Neodiprion lecontei: one gene and its partners. The protein of the gene in region 1 purifies or fractionates together with the protein of each later gene. This does not show direct contact. Links are inferred from orthologs where the notes say so. Each region holds a gene or a part of one and is shown on either strand. Other genes may lie near its edges.

Region 1 (9,220 bases):
CTGTCTATGAAAACAAACCATCAATGGGAGCTTTCCAGCAACGACACAGAGCGACACTGTGTCGAACATGGTGCTTTCCAACAACGACACAGAACGACAAAGTCGGATACAGATGCGGAGCATGGTTGGACACTGTGTCGGATTCATTGCTGCCAATTTTTTAGTTAGAGATTTTATTTTCGACGCATGGTATTATTTATATTTATTTATTAAATGCAATGATAATCTACACGCGTTTCACAAATTTTTTTTTCCTGGAGCGCTCAATGATCCTAGATTTCTCGTATAATGCATGAGCGGACTCTAGTGACTGAATTAAGAACCTCAAAGCGTTCCAACAAGCACCAAGGCACAGTGTTCGACCGTCTAACACAGTGTCACACTGTGTCTCCTTGCTGGAAAGCTCCCAATAACATCAACAAAACATTCCACTATGGAATATAATTGTGATGACGTGAATGAACTTGTAATTCATTACGTGAGAAACCGCCCGGAATTATGGGATAGAGTATTCCTTTCTTTTAGGTTATGTATCTATCGTTTGTATACATTTTTACGACGCATCTTCGATTTCCGTACGTGGCGTGGCGCTAAAGTCTGCCGCGTGCATGGAGTCGCCTTCCGGATGCGTTTGCCGGAGGTGAACATGGAGTCTTAGCTTTAGAGCTTGTACTGTATATGCTCTGTACGGCCCGAATGCGCAGTGCACGCTCTATTTTTATAATCCAGATAGTATACAGATCAGTGTATACACCGTATACACGTTTTTGCATGTTTACATACCACGGCAATGGTTGTTTGTAAATACAAGTGCGCTACGAATAACGAATTTCTAGAAAGCCGAAGTTAGGCCACTTCTGTTGGTTTTCTGTATCTTGCGTGAATATAAACTGCTATAAGTTGTATTCCAGCGAATCAGGCAAACGGTACATTTTGCGGGTATCTTCTACCTGAGGCCAAAGACTATGGAATCTAAGGCTAACAAACCGTAGAAAATAAGGTTAGCGATCAACTATTGTCAGTATTTGCAATTACATGCATTACACCGTATAATAATTAAAAAAAAAGCACAAGGTGTTGTAATAAAAACACGTGATCTGATCAAGCTAATTCGAAAAATGAACGTTCAACAGTTGTCGTTGGATGAAAAAAACACCTAAAGAAAATGGAATTGGCAGGCTTTAGGGAGTGCGAGGATGTTCTTGGATTTACTAATCAGACTGCAGTCCTGCTGAGTGGAATGGGAGCTAAAGAACTTGTACCGCAATTTAGGGAGAGAAATATATCGACTGAAATGTTAGCTAATTTAACCCACGATGACCTTGTGCTACTCGGTACTCGATATCTTTACCTTTTTCAATATTGTGCTAATGTTCTATTTATTTGGATCACAGCTTATGTGATGCTTAAATTTTTGTCACAGGTGCAAGCCATGAACTTGCTCATCGTATGCTCAAGCAGTTGTCTCCAATATTGAGGCGTACCAGTTTAACGGTGTTAACACCGCAACAAAAGTAGGTTTATGAAGTAAAAGTATATAAAGTCGGTATTCATTTGAAACATGTATGCATAGGAATGAATATGTATGATAAATGGCGTTCGAACAAGTTTTGTACAGATATAATTTTCGATTTTTCCAGGTTAGACCAGCTATTAGAATCTCTGGAAAATAATGGTAAACATTTATCACTCATCAACGCGTTTGTTACGTATACCAGATTGCGTCTTAACAAGGAAAAAATGGATTCTTTCATAGAAATAAACGGTAATCTGCGCAGTAGCCAAGCTTTGGAATTGGCAGTTGCAGCAACTATTTCTGAGATCGAAGAAGCTCGATCGGCTCTGCAAGAACTGAAATTGTCTCTAGAGGTACGGAACTCCACTTTTGATTTGACTCTACCGGCAATGTACAACTCTTACCGCACTTAAGCGTATAACAAACTGATGAATATTTTTTTTTGCAGGACGGAGGCACCTCAAGGAGCACCACTTTTTATTTTGCTACGGTCAGCGGGTTGGGACTGTTGACTTGGATGTTGTTTAAAACTCGTTTCTAAGTTTTGTACCTACTTGAAACTATCCATTTCTACTTTTGTCATAAAACTATAGCACAAACAAATAGTTGCATTACTGTAAAATCAAGGTCTCTGCTCCTTGTCCACGTACAACGACCCCGTCTCTGCGTTTGATTTCCTCGGCGGACTGCCATTTGCACTCGTAAATCCTGAAAGAGTCCCAGTTGTTATAAGCACTCCATTCTGCATGATATTCCAAGTATATACCTACAATATCAAGTTGCCCCACAGACGAATCTGCGTCTCACAATTAGTCAATTGATCCTTCAGCGATTTTTCTTCATTCTTAAAAAAATTAAGCTTTTTTTCCTCTGCTTGAATTGCTTCGTTGAGCTCATCCCTTAGTGTTGATCCACTGCTGGGGCTCGCGTAGCGCTGTAAATGATGCATCGATTGGAAGGCAAGTCAAGTATGATTATAGTTGTTTGATACAGAAGTGCGAAGAGACCAAAGCAAATCAACATATTACACACCCTCATCTCCTGCTGAATTTTGTCTTTAGCAATTTTCAGTTTTGATATGTTGATGCGCAATTGCTTGATTTCTTCCATCTCCTGCATATAAAGGGATAAATTTACCTTTGAATACCAAAGTAGTTTGGATACCTATGCTAGGGATGTGGCGAGTATTTTATTCTCTGATGCATGCATAGTGTATGCATTATCAAACCTGCCTTATCATTATTATCTCGGAGAGAATTCAATTCAGATGATAATGCGACTGTAGAGCTCTCCAAGCTCGTTTCTACAGAGCCATGGCTAATTTTAGCTCTTTCGTGTTGCTCGTCTACTTCCTGTGCCTTCTGTCTTAGTGGTCTCAGGTCTGTAATTAAATATTGCCGAGGTTTCACATTTTCAACTAACTTTCTGTACATGCATACATGCCCCATAGTGAATGCTATAAAAACAGAGTTGCGAAAGACCGGGAAAATCTCGAATAGTCAAGGAATTTCGTCTTTTGGGAAGTCCGAGAATTATGATGAACGACAGGGAAAATCATTGTACTTTTTTGATAAACTGTTTTCAAATTTCAGCCATGTCTCGTAAATTCAGCTAAGCTAGCTGTCGGAAATAGTATTGTTCAATTTTTAATTATTTGTGTATTTTTAAATGCAAATTTATATATCGAAGTTGCACAATTTCTGGAGCTTTAAGTCATAAAAGTTGCCCAACATTAAAGGAAATTCTAAATTTTTTGTCATGAACAGTCAGAGAATTTTAATTGAGGAAATTTGGGATCTCCCTGAAGAACTATAATAATTTAATAGTAATTACCGTTCAGCAGCGAGACTAGTTGAGCCCTGAATGCAGAGATATTCCGCGCCAGTTCTGCATTGGCTGAGATCACGTTTTCTGCCGTGAATCCATTGGGTAAAGTTTTCGCAGGTCCCATTTGCACGGGGCTGATACTGACCCGGACGCGGCTGAGCTAAGTTGTAAAGAGTGATGTCACAGAAGCCAGTATCACCAGCATAGATGAAAACGAGTTTTAAAAAAAAAGGAACAATTACTTGCGCCTCCAATATACGCAGGGTTCGATTTAGGACTCCTCCCTCTGCTCGAAGGCCAGCAAGCTCCGCTCTGTGTTGCTTGTATAAGGTGCTCCTGGCCCTGAGGTGCGTCACGTAACGCTTCAGTTCGTCGCCTCTCGGCGCTGGCTCTTCAGCGAGCTGTCTTGCTTCCTCTCTTCGCTCGGCTAACCGAGCATTCATTTCCTCTAGAGTCTCTTCAGATCTCTTCAGCTTGTCCAGCACAGTTCGCTTCATTCCAACAACTGCCGCTGCCTGCTGCCTGAATGGTGCCACTTTGTCTGTACCTCCAGTAGCCTGCGATAATCGTAAAGCGCCCAGTGCAGTATTATGTTTCCAATAACCATAAAAATGCGGTATAGATGTGACTACCAAGAAAACGAAATTCGATTTGAAATATCACCAATTCAATTGTTACTGTATCTCGTTAACACAATGAAAATCTTCATTAAATTTGACATGTATAATACTGTAACTCTGATCAATATCCTTTAGTCACCTTGTTTTCAGCTAGAGTTTGTACTTCGCGAGCAGTTACATCCAGTTTATTCCGCAACGCAATAATATCATCTGGTCCCAGGTGCACTGAGCGAGCGACGAACCTTAAGGCATCGACGTGAGACTTTTTTGCTGCTATTTCGGCAGGTAGTCGATCTCTTGACATGGCTGTTTGCACGGTAACTTTTTCCGACAAACGTTGAATCAGTTTTTGGGGTGTAAGACTTGCTCCAGCTTCCTTCAAATTGTGCAGCTCGCGTTCCATCCGTTGCAATGATACCTGGGTGGGGGAGGTTTCAAGAATAAATCGAATTATAGACATCACAAGAAGCAATGTTCGTGTCGTTTCACCTGCAACATAGCTGTAGATTCTTGTTGTTGGCGTTTTTGCAACGCCAGCTCACGTTCCCTATCTCTTTCAATTCGAAGTTTCCGAGCAGCTTCAAGCAATTGGGGTGCACTCTCAGCCCTTAGTTTCATTTTTTCCACTCTTCCCAGAATCACTTCGCGCTCTTTTTGCATCGCTTCCAGGTCATTCTTCAGTTCTGCCGCAGCCTCACCACCCTGAAGAAAATGATGGGTGAATACCTACATTATTCATCATGCCAAGAGGGGGAAAATTGTAATGTCTAGTTGAATGTTGTTAAAATATTCTACCTTCTTTCCCGCTTCTCGCTCTTTGTGAATCACTTTGAATTCGTCGACCAATCTCACGTACTGATCGTACAGTCCTGTCAATTCAGGATCACCTGAATACTCTGTGGGCACTTCTACCTGTGTAATTTGGGAATCAGCCAAACATAACATTTCATCACTATTCATCTAGTAGCTCAATATTTACCTAAAGGAATTTTATCTTGTCTAAGAAATCTAGTGATATTTTTTCCACTTTCGCATACGGATTAAAACACTTTTAGTTAACAGCAGAATTTTGACATTTTTGAAGTGAAAACTTCTTTAGCGCCATTGGTGAAAACTTCTTCAGCACAGGAGTGATGTGAAACTCAATGAAACGACGATCGATGTAACGGAAATATTGATGAAACAGAAATGCAAAACTTAACTTAATTAGCGTGGTAGTGATTTGAAACTCGATGAAACTCGATGAAACGACTATCGATGTAACGAAATGAAACGACTATCGATGAAACGAATAGTTATTCCACTCCTGATACTGCATTCTCCTCATTCTCTCGCAGTTTAGTTTCTAAAAGTTTCACTTCTACCACATATGAGCTGCACACGTTTTTTTAAAAAAAAAAAAAGATATATGTGACACTTTTTTAAATTTTATTGGATAATCACGTGTTTAGTAAGTTATAGGTAAGCTAGTGCAATTTTCCAGTTGCGTAAAAGGAGTTGACTCTTTCTAGATATACCGTTAAATGATGTAACTATATGGAATTCTGTGGTGTATATTAGTTAGCCAAATGTATGTATTTCGTGTAAAGCCATATTGCCAAAAACTATTATTCTTATATGACCTAAACTTTTTATTTATCGTCACCTTCACCAAAAAGCGGGCCAGATATGCTCTTTGTCGTGAGATATCCATGTTGGACAGAAGCCATTTTAGAACGGCATGTATCGTTGAGGACTCTCCCTTCACCAGTCCGTGCCTGAGGATATTCGCAAATATGCAACTGTTTGTTATATGTTCTCACAAGTTAGCAGCGTCTAGGGAAATAATGAATTTGATCATTTTCAACTAGCTTGAAGGGGTAGACAGCCCTTGAAAGTCGAAAAAAGGGGACAGGGCGTTAGCAAAATACTAGCAAACATTGATATAGAAAAGTCAGTCTCTACATTCATCCTCAATCACCATCAATATCGCATTTACCTGAATAACGCTGGGTCACCTTGAGGTTGATACTTCAAGACTCTCAGGGCGGAAAAGATGCGTACAGAGTTTTGTTCCGGGGTTTCCATTCTAACATCGTGCGGGGGACCATCTTGTTGTATTTCGGACAAAACATCGCTGAGAACCTATAAAAATTGTTAGGGTCAGATAATGTTTGCTTTCATTATTCAAATTGTGCATGCTTAATAATAACACAAACTCACTTGTAATAGATCATCAGAACGCAATGCATCGAAGGTGATCAAATTGTAGTTTCGATCTAAAACTTTATTGAGCTCTGCTATGATAAATTTGATATCTTTGCTCATCCTTGAAACAATTGGAATAAGCCTAGTATTAGAAGAATAACAAGCTCACTGCACACACGACGTCACATCACCCTAGAAACAGCTGTAAATGTAATTAACACGAATCAATATTTTTTCACAGTTGTGCCACTTCGTTGTCAAGGCGACAGTTGCTGGGCAGGTGTTTTAAACTCTGATCGCTTTGATGTATAAAAGTTATTTGAAAGCAGAAATGAGCCAAGCTGGATACTTTTCAACGACTAGTATTCAACTAGAAAAGAGGTAGTGCTATCAATATAATGAAATCACTTGTTCTTCATTATAAACTTTAATGTCCATTCAGAGTTATATTAACACATATGTACAAGTTTGTAAAACTAATCAGTCTCTTTTCAACTGTTTCTGTGGTGACGGTTTCGTTTGATCGTCTTCTGGAACTACGTCGCCTTTTTCTGGTGAATCGAAAGATTTCATGATGCCAGATTCGTCAGAGGAAGCTGAGCGTTGTTTCCTTTTGAAATGTTTATTTTGGTTCTTCTTCTTTTTCAATATCGAATCTTTTGTCTGCACCCTGAAAGCGGATACACGTATTTTGTCAATACCCGCATCAATTTTAGGTGGAGACCAAAGTTTAAACTTAGTTCACAGCTTTGAGAGACCTACATAGGTATACGAACGGTGAAGAGTGTCAAGTAATTGCAAATTACATACATCATTGTCGACTTTGTACCGGGGCCCCAGTATGCGGTTGGGTTCTTTTGAAACCTGGATAATTTCTTTTGCCTCGATGCCGGATTAGCAAGGGGATGCGGTTGAAAAGATATTTCATGTGAAGATGAGGTGTTAAGAATAGCCAGCGCAGCGCTATCCGATTCAAACCTTTCCTTTTTGGCCGGATGCAACTAGAACACAAATAAAACATAATGAGATATAATAATACAGCCAGTTAACAAATAATTAACTATTTAATATAACGCCACCTTTTCCCATGCTCGAACTATGTCCCATATAACACTGTTTGGGGCATCGGTTTTAACCGATGTTTTATGTGCATGTGAAATTGACACTTTATAACCGGCGTTTATCAGCGCAGAACTAAATGTCACCATGGGGGGTACCTCGCACTTTACTATAGACATCTGAAAAAGAGACAATCAATAGATGATTGATTAAAACTCTTGGAATTCCGCACATAAATACACTCAAATGCTGTGTGTCTTCTTACTAATCGATCAAGTAAGTAGTAGAGCGGTACGTCTAGTTCTTCGTAAATCACATTTAAGACGCCTTGAAGCCTTTTCTTGGTTCCAAATTCACCTGTATCCACTTTGGACAGAAGTTGCGAAACAAACTGGCGATCATGTAAAGGACCAAGCCAAATTGGCCCACCGATCTGTAAGAGTAAGGTTACTGCTTCACATTCCTTGGCAAAATTATCGTTATATCGCTACAACACTGTGATACGGATTTTTGCTTGCTTACATGGTGTTTGTGACCACAATAGTGACAAAGCTTATCAACTGGCGGTCCTGCTGGCAGGCCGTACTTGTTGTCAGACTTTGTCATGCTGAGCGGTTGCGTAGTAATACTCTCGCACCCGACGCATTGATAAATCATTCCCAATTTACTCGCTACTCCCTTGCAAACAATTTGCCCTGTGTAGACCCTCACAAATACCCTGATATAAAAATCTACACTAATCGATATCAATGGCTGTATGTACCGGCCGTAACGTCCTGCATGAGATGAGATATGCTGCAAAAGTATCCTCAGGGCCTGAAAATTTTACTTTCTTTACCAGGTCAAGGCCGCGTTCGTGTGTTCCATAGCAATTCAACAACGTCGCAAGACATTCATGACTCTCACCATTTCATGACAGGCTTTTGACTTCAAGGAAATAGCGCCATATTTAACATGACACGTTTCTGGTGAGTTCCCAGCAAGAACCGCCATATCGGTAGCTGTAATCAAAAGTAAGCCCCCCTCGGAAATGCATTGTACAGCACCGTCCAGAAAAACCGAAGGTGAACCGTAAGGGTCCACATCTACAGCATCGAATCGATCGCTCCTGTGCCGGTACATAACCATACTGTGAAAGAGAATTCAAAGATTTAAGCATTTGCGATTACACGTTGCTAGGAAAAATTAATACGAGGTCAAGATAATATTCTTTAATAGAAGGAATAAAAATTAATCACGCACGTTGCATCTTCGTGACTGGTCGTTACAAGGTCCCCCACACCATTATGGAGTACATTTTTCTTTATGCTCTCTACCGCGGCGGCGGAAATGTCATTGGCAGTAATTTGATGAACGAACGGAACCTCTTTGGCATATCTGATACTGCGTAACCCTGTAGCAGACAGAGCTTCCAAGATCGTAATGCCTTCCTGTAGATGGGATAATTGAACACACAAAAATAAAGAAATCAATTACATCAAAATGGTAATCCCAACTCACCGAACACCTTTGAGCAACCTTCTTGCTAGGTTCAATTTTTTGATAAGCCTTTCTTTCTTCAGTGAAAATTGACAATACGGCGACACTGGAAGAAAAATGAATTGTCACTGAGACATGAACAATAGAAACCCTTAATATTTATTTAAGCAATGCATCAATAGTACAAATTTTGGAGTGACACTAGGGTCACCTTGACGCTTAAACAAGTTGCTTAAACACTTAAACTCAGACAGTTAGACAGAGTGATGTTGGTTTGCATAGGTGGAACAAATCAGCATCACTGATAGAAAAAATTGAGAGAACTCTTATTTAAGAGGTCAAGTTGATCCTTCTAACGCTAATATGGCATTGCCTTAAGGCATAGCGACGAACGATTACCTGAGGTCTCTGTTGAACTCTTGAACCGGATTGTAGAAGACTTTTTTCTCATTCGCCAATATCTCGGCCATTCCTTCCCTGACGACGATGGACTCCTCGGCGCCCCGAGTCTCCGCTGCCTGAGTGTTCATTA
Region 2 (6,848 bases), on another chromosome or scaffold:
ATCTGGCTGAATCAACCCGCTTAATCTTCAAACACAAATCACTTACGTATCCTCTTTACCCGTCTCTAACGGTGGTGCAGGCCCTCTCGAACTACTGTTCATATTCAATGGATCAAAAGGTTGCCTACTACTGCTGGTATAGCCAGCCCCACGCACCGCAGTCATTGGCCTTGGACCTGTGCCTGGCCTGCCGATCATTCCAGTTCCGTTTCTGTGAAACTACACCAGCAATAATTGCAGACTTTTAGCGTTGAGCTTAGTAGTTGACCAAACTGTGCTCTTAATGAGCAGTATAACAAATATTTGTCAGATATGTTTCATATGGGCTATATCAGAGGATTGTGTATTGATGATAATGCAGTGAAGTATAACTCACTCCGCTCGAAGTTCCAAGACGCATAGCAGTGCCAGGTTTTTTCGGTGTGATCTGAAACGTAATACGACATCACGCGAGATCTAATTCACCCTTCACAATGTATCAGATGCCGTTATTACATTAGAGTATTGCTTAGGTTAAAGACGTGTTTGAAATCTTACAATGGGGCGTTTTGCGTAGCTGGCTTTAATCGCGTCTTGATATAATTCATCCTGGTCCAAATCCTTAGTGCTGAATAACGAAGGATAGTCATTGTATCCAGAATAAATATCATCGTCATGTATGAGCGTCGTCATTGCTGCCCGTTCTTCTTGAACAATCCGATTATCTCTGTTGCGTATTTCACTTGCAAACCGCAGTTACCTCGATTTTGGAGGTTAGGTCGTAGCTCTCTGCAAAACTATTTAATCGCGTTATTAATTCACGTTGATTTACCGCGTAAAACTTCGCAAGATAATCCATCCACCTATCAACCCCGTAAACAAAGTATTTTTAACCGGTTGACGTATTATTATCAAACTTTAAAACAACAATTTTGCCACAGTAAATTTCTAATTCACATTTGACAGCATCACTCGCGTCGCTGGCAACTGGCAACTGGCCGCTGGCGTTTACAATTTGTCACTCGATCAACGCGACATCTAACAATAACAAAGGATTAAATACCACCTCGCTCACATTCAAATTATATTAGACATTCGAAAATTAGAATTAGATTATAATTAAAAAAAAAATCCAGGGAAGTCTTTATAATGGACTAATTACCTGCCCGATTTAATTTCGCCTTTAGGAAACCTACCAAATTTCATTAGTTTTCCTGTATCTATCACCATTCTAGAGATATTATTAAATCACAAGAAGGTCATTTATGCAATGTATTAGGACTTGTTGAATGAATTAAAGAATATACAGATATATATATAAGTTATTTAACTTTATTATTATAAATGATTAAGCATTAATTATCCATTGATTTATAACGTTTAACAGACGTAATTATACATAACGTCCCATTAAAGTCTTCTGTTATTATTGTTGTTGACTGTCAAATTTGTTCTAGTTATAACGTTTTATAAGATCGACATAAAAAAAGAAGATTATTACAAGTGCACGTGATCGATTTTTATTATTATTAATTAAGTGAAAAGCATGTCAACCCAAAAAGTACAGATGATTTACTAATGATTCATTGTTCATCTTTGAGAAAAATTGTCAACATTAGCTCTTACCATCGCTCTGTTGGAAACGTGTTATTATTTGCAGAATGTGGTATATGTTTTGTGCTTAGAATGCGAGCGAGGTGGTATTTAATCCTTGTTATGTTCGATGTCGTGTTTACCACAGGACAGATCTCTTCCTTCTTCTTACCAGGCCATCAGAGGCAGTCAACTATCTCGGTAGTCAGTCATTATTTCTGATCATGAGCAACAGAGAATATGGCAGGTCTTAGAACACACTATAAGAAAAAAGCGGCTGGATTCGGCAATTTAGAAGAGTCGAGAATTATAAAATCTTTTGAAAAAGAAAATGCAAGAAAACTAAGGCGTTTGGACGCATATAATGTTAATAGAAAAATCATCGGAGCAGGTTCTCCGGTTACATCCAGCATCGGGCGCATGGAAAACGTACAAGGTAATAGTCTAGTACATTTTTCTATTCGGTAACATTTTCTCTTTCGTTAGCTAACTCGTCATTGTTCCTAAAATATCAACCGTTATCACTGTTTATTACCGTTTTATTACCATTGTCTCGCTTGAATTAATAACTATTGATCTCTCGCAGCTACCCTTTTAGTTCAACCATGTAAAGGAAACAAATAGCATAATACTACAAGCATAGCGGGACCTTTTTTACGAACAGTCAGCTGACAGAAATATTATACAGAAATAAAAGCATTACATTTGATACAAGTACTCAACTTAGCCCACCGTCACCACTAATGTCCATGGTATAATTCTGAGTACAACTCGGTATAATCATGGGCAGAGGTAGAAAATTTAGACCTAGGGGTTTGCACTGTTTTTTCATTTTTCAGAATATCACTTAGTTTGATGTACTTACGATTTTGTATTGAAATTTTCTTATCAAAAAATAATTTTATCTTGAAATCCTACTAACACATTGGCAAGATTTTACCATCAATGGAATAAAAAATTTTCACAGATGGACCTAAAAATCAAATCGTCCAAGAAGATAGACGAATGAAATTGTTGAGATGGAGGGTAAAAAGAGATTTGCAAAAAAAAATTCAAAAAGCAATGAAACCACCAGTATTGTGTGTTGGAGTTTGTCACGATAAACTAAATTCCTCTATGTTCCTACACCAAAGTCTGTCAGCATTTAAACCTATCAAGTCAACGATGTCACCCAGAATCACTAGAGCCACTGCAAAAAGGCTGGCATCGGAAGCTTGTATGAAGGCACGTTCACCTGATGCTACTATTATTTTAAGGAATAAAAAAATAATCACAAAAGTTTTGGACCAAGGGATCGTACACAAAGCTTCAAAAAGTATTGAAATAATAAATATTCCAGGCAGTTCATTTGCACCAGAAAATTATGCGTTTAGACCGCCGGCCTGTTTACCGTCCCTGCATTTGCTTGATCAGGCAGCATTGAAACAGCCGAAAAAAGATCTTTACACGACGGTTACTCCTAAATTCTGCTCTCCTTGTATTCTCTATGCTCGAAAGAAAAAAGCTTTAAGACAAAAACTGCTGTAGCAACCCAACACTAAGACTGATACTGTGCTAATGCAATCTGAACGTGATGAATTACTAACTGCTGCAGCGTTTGAAAAAAATGAAGAGCGAACACCACTATATTTTAGAAAAGTCACAGACGGAGAAGTTATGAGACTAAAAGCTCTCTGTTGGGATTGGATGATGATAACATCTGCACCTGATACCCCAGAAGATGCTCAATGTATGATAAATCACGTAATTGGTCGATCAAATCTGTTGATCAACAAAGAGGTAAAACTATTTCGAAAACTCGTAACCAAATGTGAAACTGGTTCGCAAGAAGAATTGGTAACCAATGACGACTTGCAATGTTTCTGGGACATCATTTACATGCAACTCGAAGACTGTCACTCTAGGTTTGGCAAATTGAATCAATTAAAAGAAAGAAATTGGCAAGAGGCTGAATAAAAAAAAATGAAAGAGAAAATATGTTAAATACTTACTGCGTTATTTTTATTTTTTATTATTTATCGCATGAATTTATTTTTTATACTATCGCAAGAATTATTTATTGCATGAATTTATTTTTTATAATAATGACAAGAGTAAGCATCCACATTTTGATTTACAATTATACTGTTTGGCTAATCGATCAAACTGTGAAAATGTAATTAAATTCCTTAAGTTTATTTGAATTTCAATGCCTTACTAATTTATCTCATTTATACTCTGTTCATTATCATCACAACACAAAATTTCTTTGCAAAAGTTTTATATTATAAGCAAGTCGATTTAAATTCTAAGACTTTTCTGTAAAAAAGTATTCATCAATAAATCGTGTCATATTAAACATGTTGCGTTGTACGCCATTAGGCCTCACTATACAACCAATGCGTTGCATGATAATAATACAAAAACATCAGTATTATATTTTTGTAAGTGAACGTTACAAGACGGTCCACGATCATATATAATTTCTTTATAAAAATCACGTTCCACTCCTGAATTCAATTCCGTTCCCGGAAATGCATTTTTTTTTTTTTATATATATATTTATTCGAAAATCATGTTCGAGCAAGTAATACAAGTTTGACTGTAATTATGAGCAATCAGAAAGCAATATTTTGGCATTAAAATTTTCAAGAAATTCGAAGGTCGGACGCCAACTTCACATAGGTATCAACATAACCGCAAGGAGACGCCACGCATCCCGAAAGAAATACCATTGGACAAAATGGCATGAATGTGACAGAGAGACCCAACTCGCATGATTTTACCGTAGCCTATTTCCGTGACTAAAAGCGAAGAAAGTAAATAAATATGGAATAAATCATACGATAATAATGAGAGTAATTGCGGTAGTCAATATTTTCACATATCTTTTAATTTTATACCAATAAAAAAAAATACTGACGAAAGAATAAAAACTTGAATGAATTTCGAATTTCCCTCTCCTGCATGAACCAAGTCAAATGACAAAATGATAAACAAATTTTCGATTATGTTTTGAAGACATACGAAGCGGGGAAAACAATTAAATTCATATTTAGCAAATTATCGTATGATTGGTATTCGAGAAGTTTATTCGGCAATAAAAGGTTGCTATTTTGGACGATATTCATAGCTGATTTGAGCATAGAGTAGTCCTCTTTCTTCTGCGGGTTTGGCATGGTGATGCAGTGCTCTTTTCATTTTCATTAAAGTTGAACATACTTGTTTATTCATCATCTAATTGGAGTTAATAACTAAAATATGCCGAAGAATAAAGGTAAGTCAGAGTATTAGCAAGTTTTTAAAAATCATTTGAAGTCGAAGAACCCATAAATTAACCTTCCATCAAAATCGAATGACTGGCACGATTTATCGAACAATGTGGTTAAGTTTGGTATATAACCTGCCAGTGTCATTCTGGCGTTAAAAATAGTCGATGCACCTTGATAAAAAAAAAAATGCATAATTTTTTCTCCTCTAATGTCGTCATCGACAATGACGCTCGTGATGAGTGATATATTCCGTGTTTGTGTTATTAGGAAAGGGAGGTAAAAACAGGAGAAGAGGTAAGAACGAGAATGAAACTGAAAAGAGAGAGCTGGTATTCAAGGAAGATGGCCAAGGTAAGTAAAAACACGCACGTTCATGATATGCCTTATGACACAGGCCTATTTACTTTTGCAAGCAAGCTAATCTATCCGATATATTATTATTCTTCAACTTATGTTTCGACATTTTACAAGACAAATTGATCGGTGACTCAAAGAAATGTTATGAACTTTGCACAATATTTTTTTTCATGAGCAAAATAGTATTGAACGAAAAATAATGGAATAAAAAATACTGACGTATTTTTTTTTTACAGAATACGCGCAAGTAACCAAGATGCTTGGTAACGGAAGACTTGAGGCGATGTGCTTTGACGGGGTTAAAAGACTTTGTCACATCAGAGGGAAACTTCGTAAAAAAGTTTGGATCAATCAAGGTGACATTATTTTGATCGGCCTTCGTGATTACCAAGATGCCAAAGCTGACGTTATTCTCAAATATACATCTGACGAAGCTCGTAATCTCAAAACTTATGGAGAATTTCCAGAAACAGGTAGGATTTGGAGTGGTCGTTATTTGTAAATAGATTATTTTCATCGAGATTAAAGTAAAGGGTGGTAGGAGATGTAAAATATTGCGGAACTTGCGAAGACTTTTAATTTTGATTCAATTTATGAAGTAAGAATTGCATTTAGCCACATCTTTAATTATCTAATTATCATAAGTTTCCGTTCGGTGTTCTCAAAATCTGTTTAAATTTCATTTTATCTTGAACGGAGAAATGATTGAGTTTGATTTAGTGCCTAATAAACGTGTTTTATTTTTACAGTTCGCATCAACGATACTGTTACATTTGTCGAGGATGGGTTCGACGAAGATATTGAGTTTGGTGATGAAATTAGCGACGACGATGAGGACGACGTCGATAACGTAAGTCGAACAATCTTATTTCACACAGAAAATGATTGAAAGTTTATTTTCAACGTATCAAGATTGCCCAACTATTATTTGGTGCTACTAAAATTGCATTCTATCAAAATGGTTCAATCTTTCATATCACATGACTTGAGACAGGACTTGTTATGTCAAAAGTACACTTCAGAAAATTTGAATTGTTAATGAAAATGTGTGGGTAAAATTTTTCTATTGAACAGATCTGATGACCCGAAAAATAATCAACGGTGGTGAGGGAATGGAGATTAGGAGAAGAATTGAGTGGTGAAAATTGCATCACATGGAGCACAATCAAGGCGTTCTGCTTGCTTCCAATCAATACATAATTGATCAATTGTATCTTCAAATAAACAATTGTAACCACTGATTAATGCAGTCATCGTATCGTCATATCTGTAATACGCAACCCTTGTATATGTAAATTTAATGTAGACCGAAATAGCATAATATGTTACTCGTAATATTATACTATGCACATTATATGCCTATATATATATATATATTGCTATTTCAACAGTCGCAAATTGACCGCATAAACAAAAATTATTAGATCAAATTATTTCTAAATAAAACTTGTGTCATTAACTCTACGTTAAAATCTGTCTGCAAAAAATTCCCTCGAGAAAATACACATTGCAAGTTTTTAATAAACACATAGATTTCATCGGAAAGAGAATTATGATCTACGAAGAAGTCCACTGCCAATATTTATTTGTAAAGTTCGTCCTTAGTGGTATTGGTTGTAATTTGACATTAGTATTGATAGTATTTTTCCTTTTGTTCTTTTAGATGAA
Region 3 (6,611 bases), on another chromosome or scaffold:
AAATTAGTCACTGCTGAAACAAGTACAAATGATGAAATTCCGGATGTATGGATACCTCACCCTGAATTAATGAGTCTTGAACAACTGGAGAATCATCTCATTGACCTAACGGCTAAGGGTATGAATACACGAGGTACTCTGCGAAGACTCCTTCAAGCTTATTGTAGAAAAAATAATTTTAAGAAAGCTGAGGAAACTGCAGAATTGTTTAAGGAGAAGGGATTTGAATGGACGTCCGGAATGATTTCCAGCATGTTTTCCTTATATGTCACAAATAATATGATCGATAAGGCTGATGTATATTTCAGAGATCTGAAGACAAATCACAAAGACTTTATAATCGATGATTACAAGGTAATTGATTATGCTACAGCTCTTGTAAAGAATAAAAAATTCGAAAAAGGTCTGGAAGTACTCAGAGAACAGGAAAATGTTACGAGTGGACCCAAAACTATCAGAAACTGCTGGAGACTTTTGAATGCAGTTGCTGCAGATGGAAATCTGGAAGCCACAAAAAAAACGTTGGATATCTTACTCGAAAAAGGGTATTGCGAAGTGAGCATTCATGTCCTCAGTCCATTGGTCAGGACAAATTTATTAAATGGTAACTTGGAAGAAGCTATTAAACAATTCAAAGAGTGTGCACTTGTGTATAAACTGACACCTCTGAAACAAGAACTGCTACGTGCTCTTGTAGATATTTCTACCGACAACCCTGATGCTCAAAAACAGTTGACAGATGTACTAATGGTGATAAAAAGTATTTCTGGAGAAGCAGCAGGAAACTCTCATTTGTTCACGGCATTAGCGGCAAGGAATAAACACAAGGAACTCCAATCATTTATTAAAGTAAGACTAATCTGAATTTTAAAAAAAAATTGTGACCTTCTAATCGCTGTTGCTATAACACGAATCATTTCTCGTAGTAATTCAATTACCTTTCTTGTACTAAAATAACTCGATTTATTTTTTAGATGCCAGCTGTGAACCAAAAAACAATGGAAGTCAGTGCAAAAAACTTGATGACTGAGCAAAATTTAACAGCCTTACAAGGGATTTTGAAAGCGTGTAGAAATGTGATGAAGCTGGACACACGGATTATTTACGATCTAATCTTGACATTGTGCAGTAAGTAAATTGAGAAATAATTCAAGACAGATTTTTCGATCACAATTTATGACTTTAATCTTTATTTTATTGTGGTCATACAGGTAGGTCTGGTGATTACAAAACAGCGCTAGAAATATGGGATAGAATGCAGGCAGAGGACATTATTCCACTACCAAAATTTACTGAAAATTTAATAAACTTCTTGAACTCGCAGAAAGTTTCATTACCAGACGAATTACAAGCAAAGATGAAAAGAGAGAAACGCTAACAATATTTGAAATTATCTTAAATAGTAAAAATATTGTACATAAACTAATGTATTCCTTTGACGCTTTCCCTTAGTTTAACATTGTACCGATCCACCAGTTCGAGTGCTCTGCTCTTAATTGCGTTATAATCCACTCGTTCGCGTTCTTCCCTGATGAATTTCTGTAATGTTTCATTATTTTGTTTCAATTTCTCAAGTTTATCCTCCAGCGAGCTTATCTGTACATAAGTTTCATTTTTGTCTAGCTGTGACTTGATCTCCTCGTACTCTCCACGTACAGAAGCCAGTTCCTGTTTGATGGACGGCTCGCGCTCACGAAGTTTTGCCCGTTCTGCGATCATCTCTTCTCGCTTTTGTTCAAACCTTGCCTTCAATCCATCCAAATCTTCAAGGACAAGCAACTCACTTTGTTTTTTACCTATTTTTTCTTTCAGTTCCGTTAACTCGACTTTCAGCCTTTTTTCGAGACTCTGCATTTTTATTAAATTCTGCTGCAGCCTTGTGTGCTCGCTGCTCAATCCTTCGATAGTTTGGTCGACATTAATAGGAACGTCCGGGTCTTCGCTGATGGCATGTTGGATGTTCAGGATTGCCAACTCATCACCAGGAGTTAAGTGAGTATCGCTAGAGACACAGTTTGATATTTGTGTCAAATGCTCGACAATTGTAGTCTCTAGTTTATCAAGTCTCTCAAGCTCTTCATGTTTGCTCCTGTCAAAGGTGGCCATGAATTGCTCCATTGCCTCTTCTCGTTTTCTCATCTCTTTGTACTTTACATGCCTTGCTGACTGGCACTCTTCGAGATCTGTTTCCAACTGTTCTAGCTCATGCTCAGCCTCAGCTATACGTCGTTTAAGTTCAGCTGTTTGCCTCTCAGCTGCAGCGACATCTGCATTATCCTGCTTTACCTTGGCCAGGAGTTGAATTCGCTCTTCTTCTGGCGACAGTCTATTCTTCTCTTCTTCTCGTAGTTTATCGCGTTTTCCTTCAACCTCTGAAATCTTAACAAGAAGTTTGACAGCCTCCTGCTTAGCCTGTGAAAGTGCAATCTGCTCTTCCATGGTCGATTTTTCGTTAGATAGTCGATCCAGCTCTGTTTGCATAACATCTATGCTACTCTGCAGTTCAATTTTTTGTTTTGTCAAATCGTCGTACTTAGCACGCTGCTCAATAGTCATTCCTTCGACTATTCTCTCTGCATTCTTCTTTTCCAATTCTACTTCCCTCTCGATGGCCCGAAGCTCTTGTTCTTTTTGCTGACGATGAGCAAACAAATTTTCTATCTCAGCCATAGTTTGGTCATTTTTCACGGCCAAAGATTTAGCCTCCATTTCCAGAGAGTTTTTGTCAGGGTCTAAAGTCATTTTATCAACAACAATGTTATAGTCGGCCAGTTGCCCCTGCAATTCTGTAAGCTCCGCTGCCAATTCTTTGGCTCGTTTATCGTAGTGAAGAAAAGTTGCTCTTTCTCTACTCTGACTGTCGACTTGCCGCGTTATGACTGCAATTTCTTGTGTAAGTTCTCGTATCTTCAATTGTAGGAGACCTTCGTAATATCTTCGATCCTGGACTTGTCTGCAACATTTAAAGCAACGATCTAAAGTATATCACGATATTCGCTGTGTTCTTAATAACTTATTATACCGTCAAAAATCCTTGCCTGGTCATGGGCAGTCCCCTGTTAGTCCCAGGCCGAAGTCCGGCGATTCCTTGCTGCGTAATCGGTCTGTCGACTAGATTGACCTGAGCTGCAGATGGAAGGCCAGTTCCAAGTCTTCCTTGGACAGCAAAAGATCCACCGCTGGTAGCGCTGACCCGGGAGCTAGCGGAGTTAAGTACTCTAGCAGAGAATGCCGAAGCAGAAGGTGGTCGGCCTACGACGCTTCTACCAGGAGTTGCAGCAGTTGCTGCGCGATAATTACTCGATACAGGCATTTCCTGGCTGTCCATTTTGGCCCCTCTCCTCGAAGAAGGTCTCTCGATTCTACTCTGCGGCCTGGAAACGTCTTCCTGCTCTCTTCTCCAACGCGTCAGTGGTCTCTCAGCACCTCTACCAGTTGTAGGTCTATCAAGGTCCATGATTAGCAATTCAGTAAAATTGATTCTTAAGAAGGATGAGATTTGCAGGTGTAGAACTTGACAATTGCCTGGTAGTCATATGCTCACCAGGTATGAACGAATTCTTATTTGTGTACAAATTAGCGTTGCCATGTAAACCCCGCAACAACGTCATGATGTAAAAGTGCGAAGTTTCCACCCTTTCAAATGTGCACCAAATTATCTCAAATGCGATTGGTTGAAAATCCAAGATGGCCGTCATATGTTCTGGGGAAACGGTATTTCATTGGAACACAACCTCCCCTTCCACGTCATGTCATAACTCCGCTAGCAGCTTGTCGACAGTGTTCTTTGTTATCGGCAAAATGGTACCACCTTGGTTTCCCTGGCACCCAACAGGTGGCCGGGTAGCATTAGTCCACGGAGAAAGGTGGTGCACGCGTTTCGAGCAGTCGACTCTGCGTAGTCAACAGTTGCTAAGCAACAAAGCGACGCGGCGGTTCCCCTAAGTTGAATTAATACATTATATCCGAGTCCAGGAATATCCTCGAAGTGGCTACCTACGACGGCTGCACTATTACCAGTAACGACAGTATACCTACGAACGTCGGTCGCATGGCCGTCAGTGGTGCCACTTTCCATTCGACTTTTCCCTCAACGGCGACCGGAACAGAACTTTAAAAACAATTGACCAACGCGTTGCTGCGCGGCGTAACTGTAAGACAAGTGCCTCGTATGCACGTTTGCATGTGTTTGTTATGTGTTGATTGTGTGTTGTGCGTGGACGCGGTACCGAGCGCGCAGTTTGCATACGGTAGAAATAGAGTTAAAGAAAATTCCAACGGTTGCCAGCAAGCAGTGCGTATATAATTTCGAATCTCTACCTGGTTTCTTAAACCGGTTTTGTCAACCGATGAACCTTACTGATCGCCTGTGCCAAAGAATGCTTTCAAATCTGTGACAAGTGGATTGTTTATATCTTCATATTTTTTGTTTACGTATTTCACGTATGTGTACGGATATTGCCAGAGGTTTGCTCACGTAACATCGACGAGCTGAAGTCGGAAGTTTTCGAAGATTTCACGATCACTTGGTTATTATGGACGAGGAGGAGATCGACGGTATCAAATCGCCGATCAAACGGCTTGGATCGACAAGGAAGCTACTCGTTTTTAACAGTAAGTGATAAAATATCACACAGCGCTGAAACAACATCGTAGCCGAAAGGACAACGAAATATGCATTCAACGTCTTTCCGCTGTCATTTGGCTCCGGTGATGTTTTGTCCGTCGGGAAATTTTATGTGTGCCTGATTGTGCGAGTCAACCACAAATTTACGCTGCACAAACGTAATTTTGCATAATTTTTAATTACTATTTATATTCGTATAAATGACATTGCAAACCTGTCCATGTTTATACGATCGTGAGTTGAGAAAGAAAACTCAACATATTCCCAAGAATACGTAGCAATAAAGAAACCGTTTATTTACATTGGTATTGTCTGACGTATTGTCACGTTGTAGCGATTCGCATACCTCACGTATGACTGTAATTACGTAAACATTTGCAATGAAAACTTTTTGTCGTTGTACAGAATTCTCGCCTCTTCTGTTTTCTTCTCATATAGGTATAACAGGTCTATATTTTTACTGACGATCAGCTAAATATCGCCATTGTCAAGAACAACGCCGATCGAATAAACTGACAAATGAAATGTAACGAAATTCGAATTTTTCGGGCGCAGCTTTTTTTCATACGTAGATAAAACGAGTCCGAAATTAATGTTTCGAAAGCATGTAGGCACATTGATATCTCACACTTGAAGATAGATAGGTGTACACATACATGCATTTAATAATTGCATTATCATCACACATTCAGTTACTCCACAACTCCTTGTACGTAATTTTAATAATATATACAGCATGTATCAAACTACAAGTAATTTACACACCGCATAACTTATACATACAACGTGGCATATGTTTATACCCTGGTTTATACTTTCGCTCTGGACTTGCGACACGCAAGATTAACAAGCCGCAGCAGTTGCACACTAACCGCGTCAGCCAATGCAGCAGCAACAATTACCTTTGAAATGCACTTTTATTATTGACCAATTAATCAGGGATAGCTTCTGATTCGAGAAAGACTGCAAAAGAGCTATACAGTCCAAAGATATACCGAAAGAATCGGAAAGGATACTAATATAGGATGAAAAAATTGGAAAAACCTTGTTGAGTCAATTTCCGTTATAGGTTGCTGGTAAAGCTTAGGCTGTCTTCCAAGTGTCTCAAACGGAAAAGATTTCCCATTGTACACCTGCACGGGTGTGCAGTGGTAGATGTACATGCCTATTGTCCAGACTTATATATATATATGACCCTAGGATAGGTAGGTATATACATAATAGGTTTGATGGCGTCGGGGACACGCAGCGGATTGTCGAATGACGCGCCGGAAAGAGCAGATGCTGCGCGGGATTTTTCCCCTCCTCATCATCCTCCTCGATTTCAAATGAAAGGCAAACGGGCTACATCTACAATCTACATACCACGTATTGCAACAAAGAGATGAGAGGTTCGCGTTAACGTTACTTTGGTTCAGATAAACAAAGCGCCTAAGTTCGGTTCCTTCTCGAGCGGGAGTTTAACGCTAGCGTGGACGTCTTGCGACGCCAGCCGGTTAGATCTGTAGCGTAATATCTTCCGACTCGGTAAATATGATCACGAGAAAGGGTTTTAATTTCTTTTTTATGAAATTGCTTTCTTTTTTCTTATTTTTATTTATTTATTTATGTCGACATACATGACAGGTATACTGTATTGAGATTGTCGTCTTGCAATGCGTCATCTGGTGGAAAAAAATCAAACTAATGCAACCAGGCTGAAAGCTGCAACCGTTGACAGTGTTTTTTCGCGTGTGGATAGTAGAACTGGTGTATTATTGATTACATTTCATTAATTTATGTGACGTGAGTAGTTTGAAAGCTCAAGAATTACGATTTGCCGCCATTGAAATTAAAAAGTTAGGTTATGTGGTGATAAAATGGCGCCGACAACCAGATTCTGACGTTCGGAGGAAAATTTCCAATAAAATATTCAGGGAATGAACTTTCTTGTTCCTGCAGGATACTAATCAGCGTAGCGGGTATAAACTTATCTCCGCAATAC

Evidence for each region.
Region 2: the proteins of intraflagellar transport protein 81 homolog (region 1) and intraflagellar transport protein 88 homolog fractionate together in Homo sapiens (co-fractionation; 3 studies listed by BioGRID and IntAct, with this or other methods). This does not show direct contact. The link is inferred for Neodiprion lecontei from reciprocal best matches to the Homo sapiens genes IFT81 and IFT88.
Region 3: the proteins of intraflagellar transport protein 81 homolog (region 1) and intraflagellar transport protein 74 homolog purify together in Homo sapiens (affinity purification with mass spectrometry; 3 studies listed by BioGRID and IntAct, counting the BioPlex papers as one, with this or other methods). This does not show direct contact. The link is inferred for Neodiprion lecontei from reciprocal best matches to the Homo sapiens genes IFT81 and IFT74.

Annotation. Positions count from the first base shown.
Region 1 is NC_060264.1:23,610,170-23,619,389, reverse strand, and holds intraflagellar transport protein 81 homolog, read right to left. Parts: upstream 6,363-9,220; 5' UTR 6,271-6,362; coding exon 6,166-6,270; intron 6,088-6,165; coding exon 5,942-6,087; intron 5,721-5,941; coding exon 5,609-5,720; intron 4,876-5,608; coding exon 4,759-4,875; intron 4,666-4,758; coding exon 4,453-4,665; intron 4,382-4,452; coding exon 4,103-4,381; intron 3,901-4,102; coding exon 3,586-3,900; intron 3,504-3,585; coding exon 3,350-3,503; intron 2,898-3,349; coding exon 2,749-2,897; intron 2,630-2,748; coding exon 2,549-2,629; intron 2,451-2,548; coding exon 2,287-2,450; intron 2,225-2,286; coding exon 2,128-2,224; 3' UTR 2,058-2,127; coding exon of another isoform or gene 1,965-2,057; 3' UTR 1,870-1,964; coding exon of another isoform or gene 1,641-1,869; 3' UTR 1,529-1,640; downstream 1-1,528. Other genes in the region: uncharacterized protein LOC107222349, read left to right, coding at 1,166-1,334, 1,424-1,514, 1,641-1,869, 1,965-2,057; probable tRNA (guanine(26)-N(2))-dimethyltransferase, read right to left, coding at 6,631-6,820, 6,961-7,151, 7,230-7,388, 7,475-7,642, 7,732-8,025, 8,116-8,338, 8,452-8,639, 8,710-8,794 and 1 more. UniProt on the Homo sapiens protein: Component of the intraflagellar transport (IFT) complex B: together with IFT74, forms a tubulin-binding module that specifically mediates transport of tubulin within the cilium. Binds tubulin via its CH (calponin-homology)-like region.
Region 2 is NC_060260.1:5,205,060-5,211,907, forward strand, and holds the start of intraflagellar transport protein 88 homolog, read right to left. Parts: upstream 3,602-6,848; 5' UTR 3,564-3,601; exon of another isoform or gene 3,100-3,563; coding exon of another isoform or gene 2,540-3,099; intron 2,009-2,539; coding exon of another isoform or gene 1,813-2,008; intron 1,690-1,812; exon of another isoform or gene 1,606-1,689; intron 1,307-1,605; exon of another isoform or gene 777-1,306; 5' UTR 673-776; coding exon 538-672; intron 428-537; coding exon 377-427; intron 220-376; coding exon 47-219; intron 1-46. Other genes in the region: uncharacterized protein LOC124295468, read left to right, coding at 1,813-2,008, 2,540-3,099; eukaryotic translation initiation factor 1A, X-chromosomal, read left to right, coding at 4,813-4,828, 5,091-5,174, 5,417-5,653, 5,930-6,030, 6,255-6,260. UniProt on the Homo sapiens protein: Positively regulates primary cilium biogenesis. Also involved in autophagy since it is required for trafficking of ATG16L and the expansion of the autophagic compartment.
Region 3 is NC_060260.1:40,246,771-40,253,381, reverse strand, and holds intraflagellar transport protein 74 homolog, read right to left. Parts: upstream 3,537-6,611; 5' UTR 3,458-3,536; coding exon 3,039-3,457; intron 2,954-3,038; coding exon 1,423-2,953; 3' UTR 1,379-1,422; coding exon of another isoform or gene 1,212-1,378; 3' UTR 1,160-1,211; downstream 1-1,159. Other genes in the region: leucine-rich PPR motif-containing protein, mitochondrial, read left to right, coding at 1-849, 975-1,128, 1,212-1,378; SLIT-ROBO Rho GTPase-activating protein 1, read left to right, coding at 4,536-4,614. UniProt on the Homo sapiens protein: Component of the intraflagellar transport (IFT) complex B: together with IFT81, forms a tubulin-binding module that specifically mediates transport of tubulin within the cilium. Binds beta-tubulin via its basic region. Required for ciliogenesis.